Saccharomyces cerevisiae S288C: one gene and its partner. Changing the gene in region 2 together with the main gene of any one other region gives a genetic interaction. Each region holds a gene or a part of one and is shown on either strand. Other genes may lie near its edges.

What was found. Genes that interact genetically often act in the same process or in processes that back each other up.
Region 1: mutations in PMR1 (region 2) and SPF1 together harm fitness more than expected from each alone (negative genetic interaction), as found in Saccharomyces cerevisiae (6 studies listed by BioGRID, with this or other methods).

What each region holds. Positions count from the first base shown.
Region 1 is NC_001137.3:88,511-92,266, forward strand, and holds the start of SPF1 (ion-transporting P-type ATPase SPF1), read left to right. Parts: upstream 1-1,747; coding exon 1,748-3,756. Other genes in the region: MCM DNA helicase complex subunit MCM3, read left to right, coding at 1-1,342. UniProt on the Saccharomyces cerevisiae protein: Endoplasmic reticulum translocase required to remove mitochondrial transmembrane proteins mistargeted to the endoplasmic reticulum.
Region 2 is NC_001139.9:188,764-192,519, reverse strand, and holds the start of PMR1 (Ca(2+)/Mn(2+)-transporting P-type ATPase PMR1), read left to right. Parts: upstream 1-2,051; coding exon 2,052-3,756. Other genes in the region: YRB30 (Yrb30p), read left to right, coding at 1-542; CUP2 (Cup2p), read right to left, coding at 714-1,391. UniProt on the Saccharomyces cerevisiae protein: This magnesium-dependent enzyme catalyzes the hydrolysis of ATP coupled with the transport of calcium. Has a role in the secretory pathway.

The DNA.
Region 1 (3,756 bases), on a different chromosome or scaffold from region 2:
CAATAGAGATCCACACCAAAACATTGCCCTACCGGACTCGCTGTTGTCTCGTTTTGATTTACTATTTGTTGTGACAGACGATATCAATGAAATCAGAGATAGATCCATTAGTGAGCATGTCTTAAGAACACACAGATATTTGCCTCCAGGTTATTTAGAGGGTGAACCTGTGAGAGAGCGTTTGAATTTATCATTAGCCGTTGGGGAGGATGCAGATATAAATCCTGAAGAGCATTCCAACTCCGGGGCTGGTGTAGAAAATGAAGGAGAAGATGATGAAGACCATGTCTTCGAAAAGTTCAACCCCTTATTACAAGCAGGTGCTAAGTTAGCAAAAAACAAAGGTAACTATAACGGTACAGAAATTCCAAAGCTAGTCACCATCCCATTCTTAAGAAAGTACGTTCAATATGCCAAGGAAAGGGTTATTCCACAGTTAACACAAGAAGCCATCAATGTTATTGTGAAAAATTATACTGATTTAAGAAACGATGATAATACCAAAAAATCGCCCATTACTGCAAGAACTTTGGAGACTTTGATCAGATTAGCCACAGCTCACGCCAAAGTCAGGTTATCCAAAACAGTCAACAAGGTGGATGCTAAAGTGGCTGCCAATCTACTAAGGTTTGCACTATTGGGTGAGGATATCGGCAATGATATCGATGAAGAGGAAAGTGAATACGAAGAAGCTTTGTCGAAGAGGTCTCCACAGAAATCACCGAAAAAAAGACAAAGAGTCAGACAACCAGCAAGCAACTCTGGATCCCCAATCAAATCTACTCCAAGAAGGTCAACGGCATCTTCCGTTAATGCCACGCCATCGTCAGCACGCAGAATATTACGTTTTCAAGATGACGAACAGAACGCTGGTGAAGACGATAACGATATAATGTCACCGCTTCCTGCGGATGAGGAAGCTGAATTACAAAGAAGGCTTCAACTGGGGTTGAGAGTGTCTCCAAGACGTAGAGAACATCTTCACGCACCTGAGGAAGGTTCGTCGGGACCTCTTACCGAGGTCGGTACTCCAAGATTACCTAACGTATCTTCTGCAGGTCAGGATGATGAGCAACAACAGTCAGTTATTTCTTTTGACAATGTGGAGCCTGGTACCATTTCTACTGGTAGATTGTCTTTAATCTCAGGTATTATTGCGCGTCTGATGCAAACAGAAATATTTGAAGAAGAATCCTATCCTGTGGCCTCTTTGTTCGAAAGAATCAACGAAGAACTACCGGAGGAGGAAAAATTCTCCGCTCAAGAATATTTAGCAGGTTTGAAGATCATGTCGGACAGAAATAACTTAATGGTTGCTGACGATAAAGTTTGGAGAGTCTGATGTCACAGGAATGTTTACTAAAAGACTTCCATTCTTGGCTTTTTTTCTTTTTGTCATTCATAATTTTCAGTTCATTTCCAGATTATTTAGTTCATTAATTGTTATTCGTGTATTAAAGAATTATGTATTAAAACGCTTATTTCCTTCTTTTGTTTGAATGTGTTGTAAGCAGTTATGGGGCACTATATCTTCTGTTAATGAATATGTGTGATACTTTGGCTTATCTTACTTGCTCATTCGTGGCTTCTTGTCACGCCATACGTTACGCGTTTCTCTTCCTCTTCGCGTGTTCTGAATAAAGCCAAGTGGCAATGTCTCTTCCACCATATAACATGAAGCTTTAGCAAGCTTTTAGCTCTAGACATAGTTGACATATCAGACCTACAGAAACATAGGAATCGGTAAATGACAAAGAAATCATTTGTGAGCAGTCCTATTGTTAGGGACTCGACATTGCTGGTACCAAAGTCATTAATAGCAAAGCCGTACGTATTACCGTTTTTCCCGTTATACGCTACCTTTGCCCAACTATATTTCCAGCAATATGATCGTTACATCAAAGGACCTGAGTGGACTTTTGTCTACTTGGGGACATTGGTATCCTTGAACATCCTAGTCATGTTAATGCCTGCTTGGAATGTCAAGATCAAGGCGAAATTCAACTACAGTACTACTAAAAATGTCAATGAAGCTACTCACATTCTCATCTACACCACTCCAAATAATGGTTCTGATGGTATCGTTGAAATTCAGAGAGTAACTGAAGCGGGCTCTTTGCAGACTTTTTTCCAATTTCAAAAGAAAAGATTCTTGTGGCATGAAAATGAGCAGGTATTTTCTTCACCAAAGTTCCTTGTTGATGAATCCCCAAAGATCGGTGATTTCCAAAAATGTAAGGGCCATTCCGGTGACCTAACTCATTTGAAGAGACTATATGGTGAGAATAGTTTTGATATTCCTATTCCAACATTTATGGAATTATTCAAAGAGCACGCTGTTGCGCCATTGTTTGTTTTCCAAGTTTTCTGTGTTGCCTTATGGCTATTGGATGAGTTCTGGTATTATTCTTTGTTTAACTTATTCATGATTATCTCCATGGAGGCAGCTGCAGTATTTCAAAGATTAACTGCCTTGAAGGAATTTAGAACTATGGGTATCAAACCTTATACCATTAACGTGTTTAGAAACAAAAAATGGGTAGCATTGCAAACCAATGAATTGTTACCTATGGATTTAGTGTCTATAACAAGAACCGCCGAGGAGAGCGCAATTCCTTGCGATTTGATCTTGCTCGATGGCTCCGCTATTGTTAATGAAGCAATGCTTTCAGGTGAATCTACTCCCTTGTTAAAGGAATCCATTAAATTACGTCCTAGTGAAGATAATTTACAACTGGACGGTGTTGACAAGATTGCTGTGTTACATGGTGGTACAAAGGCATTACAAGTAACACCTCCTGAACATAAATCGGATATCCCTCCTCCACCTGATGGAGGTGCCTTAGCCATCGTCACCAAAACTGGCTTTGAAACATCTCAGGGTTCTTTAGTTCGAGTTATGATTTACTCCGCTGAACGTGTTTCCGTCGATAATAAGGAAGCGTTGATGTTCATTCTTTTCTTGTTGATTTTCGCTGTTATTGCATCCTGGTACGTTTGGGTTGAGGGTACAAAAATGGGTAGAATTCAATCCAAATTGATCTTGGACTGTATATTAATTATTACATCTGTTGTTCCTCCTGAGTTACCAATGGAATTGACCATGGCTGTCAACAGTTCTCTGGCCGCCCTTGCCAAGTTCTATGTCTATTGTACTGAACCATTTAGAATTCCATTTGCTGGTAGAATTGATGTTTGTTGTTTCGATAAAACTGGTACTTTGACCGGCGAAGATCTTGTGTTTGAAGGTCTAGCTGGTATCTCTGCGGACTCCGAAAACATTCGTCACTTGTACAGCGCTGCCGAAGCACCAGAAAGTACAATTCTTGTCATTGGTGCTGCTCACGCTTTAGTTAAATTGGAAGATGGTGATATTGTTGGTGACCCAATGGAAAAGGCGACCTTAAAGGCTGTTGGTTGGGCTGTCGAAAGAAAAAACAGTAACTATAGAGAGGGCACCGGAAAATTGGATATTATCCGTAGATTTCAATTTTCTTCTGCTTTAAAAAGGTCTGCTTCTATTGCTTCTCACAACGATGCCTTGTTTGCTGCTGTCAAAGGTGCACCTGAAACGATTCGTGAAAGGCTTTCTGACATTCCCAAGAATTATGACGAAATCTATAAATCCTTTACACGCTCTGGTTCAAGAGTTTTGGCTTTGGCTTCTAAGTCGTTGCCAAAAATGTCTCAGTCTAAAATTGATGATCTAAACCGTGATGATGTTGAATCTGAATTAACCTTTAATGGGTTTTTGAT
Region 2 (3,756 bases):
GTAGATATCATGAGGATGATGACAAAGAAGACACACCACAGGAACTTGCCATAGATCTGAACCATATTAAGAAGCTGTTTTTCAGTGTTTCCGGTAAGCTTCTCCGATTAGAAGAACAGGATTCTCCAGTGTTGGTATTGAAGATTGACCGGAGCGATGACAAAGAAAATGAGAGCAGTGAAGGAGACAAGGGATTACTCGATGACATTACTTGGTATGCGGTAAGCGGATATGAAGCGATAGAGGAAGATGAAGAGGAAGATGAAGAGGAGGACGAAGAGGAAGGAAAAGACGGAGAAGAACGAAAGGAAGAAGAAGAAGAAGAAAATAAATTGGAGGACAAGGATTCGTCGATCACACTACTGGAGTACATCATTCGGCTGACGTCCTTACAAAGTAACGATCAGAAAAGTATATTGGAAGTGAGTGATGAAAGGTTATCTATATATTTGAACGATGAAAATACGAACTCCAGAAAGGATAGAATAAGCAATTCGACAATTGAAGAGACAGAAAAAAAGTTAAAAAACCTAAAACTTTAGGATGGTTACGTATCCTGTGCAGCCTTGGACAAATTTTATAATTGTATATATCTATGTATATGTATACGAATGGAAAAATTTATCCGAATCTCGGCCCGACTGCCAGCTTGCCGGGAGAACAAACAACCGCCAATATATGTATATGTATATTTATATAGATGTCCAGATGCATTATTGTGAATGTGAGTTATGCGAAGATACTTGTTTGTATAGCTCGTTCAACTCATTGATGGAGAATGGAATGTCAATATCGTTTAGTGCTGTGTTCGTAGTTGTATATGCGCTTCCTGTTTCATTGATACTAACAGGTTCCATAGATATACTAGGGCTTTGCTCAAGCGGATCGAGGGAAGCCAAATCAAGATTGTCAATGCTGTCGGCCTTAATTTCTCCGTTTTGCAGAGGTGGCTTCAAACTCGGCAATGTGGTTGTCATGTCTACATCCGACGAGCGACCATTTAGGCCCAAAAGAACGTCCAGATCTGCAATACCGAGACCATTGACATGCGCTGCTTCATCATTTGCCCTTCTGTGGCATGACCCTCCCTTTGATTTCCGGCTGCTTTTCCTCTTGGTATGACATTTACAAGGTTCACCCTCATCACAACGACATCGTGTTTCATCTTCCTTGCTGCCAACAGCTGGCCGTCGTGCAGAGGCACACATGCACCCACCGGATGGGTTGAAGTTCTTGGTTCTTCTCAGCTCTTTACAATGGCCACATGTGGTCGATGGTCTTCCCTTGCGTCTGATCATCTGTAGCGGACCATCAGTGTGAGTACACTGCGCCGCCCTGTGACCCCTGATACACGTTTCACAGGCATATTTGACCCCGTTAATTACGACCATTCTGTGAATACACTGATTATCAGTCCTCTTTTATCAAGCCGCCGTCTAATAAATTACATCGCCATGGCTACTGCTATTTCGTCCACAGCTTAATACTTACCGAACCAGGCCTTGCGGCTCTTACCCTGCGTGCCCGCGCACCCTGGCGACTTCGCCTCGTTTTGGCGATTTTCTTAGCAAATATTCTTTCACGATCGTAGTGGTGGAAGGTGGGTGAAAAGAGTTGCGTTCCTAGCAAGGATCGGTTGGTATCAATTGCACGTTCAGCTCATCCCTAGATAACCACTTAACAGCAAAGCCGATCGTTAAACTTTTGTATTCTACATTCTAGTTGCATTTTTTTTTTTTTTCATTTTGTTACATCAAGACAAGATTCTCTATTTAAAGAAGTACTTTTTTTGTTAACAGTGTGGACCCTACCTATCGTTATATCGAGATCTTGTTCCCTAGGCCATCGTACACTATAGCCCTTCCTTCAAGCACTTAATAGAAAAACCTCTTTTTCTACACCATCATAATAGTGTTTGCTCGCCCCGTTCTTTCCATTCCCATTTATAACAATACTAGTAACTATAATAATATCCTTACGACTGGGCAAGACAAGACGAAGCAAGGCCAGCACAGACGTAAGCTTAAGTGTAAGTAAAAGATAAGATAATTATGAGTGACAATCCATTTAATGCGAGTCTTCTTGACGAGGACTCAAACCGTGAGAGAGAAATACTAGATGCCACAGCAGAGGCCCTTTCGAAACCAAGCCCTTCTTTAGAGTATTGTACTTTATCCGTGGACGAAGCTCTAGAAAAACTGGACACTGACAAAAACGGTGGTTTACGATCATCTAACGAGGCCAACAATAGGAGATCACTTTATGGCCCCAATGAAATAACCGTAGAAGATGATGAAAGTCTTTTCAAGAAGTTCTTGTCAAATTTCATTGAGGATCGAATGATTCTACTTTTAATAGGATCCGCAGTGGTCTCTCTTTTTATGGGTAACATTGATGATGCTGTTAGTATCACACTGGCCATTTTCATAGTTGTCACTGTCGGTTTTGTCCAAGAATATAGGTCTGAAAAATCTCTAGAAGCGTTGAATAAATTGGTTCCTGCTGAATGTCACTTAATGAGATGTGGTCAAGAGAGTCATGTACTGGCTTCCACCTTGGTTCCTGGTGATTTAGTGCACTTCAGAATAGGTGACAGAATCCCCGCAGACATTAGAATTATTGAAGCAATCGATTTATCCATCGATGAAAGTAATTTAACTGGTGAAAATGAACCGGTACATAAAACCTCACAAACGATCGAAAAATCTTCCTTTAACGATCAGCCTAATTCAATTGTACCGATTTCTGAGAGATCTTGTATAGCTTATATGGGTACATTAGTCAAGGAAGGTCATGGTAAGGGTATCGTCGTAGGAACAGGTACAAACACATCCTTTGGTGCCGTTTTTGAAATGATGAATAATATTGAAAAACCGAAGACTCCATTGCAGTTAACAATGGACAAATTGGGAAAGGACTTGTCACTGGTTAGCTTCATAGTTATTGGTATGATTTGTTTAGTTGGTATCATACAAGGTAGATCTTGGTTAGAAATGTTCCAAATATCGGTATCCTTAGCGGTTGCTGCTATTCCAGAAGGGTTACCAATTATTGTCACTGTTACTTTGGCATTGGGTGTTCTGAGAATGGCCAAGCGTAAAGCCATCGTGAGAAGGTTACCAAGTGTCGAAACTTTAGGCTCTGTCAACGTTATCTGCTCCGACAAAACAGGTACACTAACCTCAAACCACATGACCGTATCTAAACTTTGGTGCTTGGACAGTATGTCCAATAAGCTAAACGTCCTCTCATTAGACAAAAATAAGAAGACTAAAAATTCTAATGGAAATTTGAAAAACTATTTGACTGAAGACGTTAGGGAAACTCTAACTATCGGTAATCTCTGTAATAATGCATCTTTCTCTCAAGAACATGCCATATTTCTGGGAAATCCTACTGATGTAGCTCTTTTAGAGCAATTGGCAAACTTTGAAATGCCTGATATCAGAAACACCGTTCAAAAAGTTCAGGAACTTCCATTTAACTCGAAAAGAAAATTAATGGCAACCAAGATTCTCAACCCTGTCGACAATAAGTGTACAGTTTATGTTAAAGGTGCATTTGAAAGAATTCTTGAGTACTCCACAAGTTATTTGAAATCAAAGGGTAAAAAAACTGAAAAGTTGACTGAAGCCCAAAAAGCTACGATAAATGAGTGCGCAAATTCTATGGCATCTGAAGGTTTGCGTGTCTTTGGATTTGCTAAACTAACTTTGTCTGATTCATCAACTCCTCTAACCGAAGACCTAATCAAAG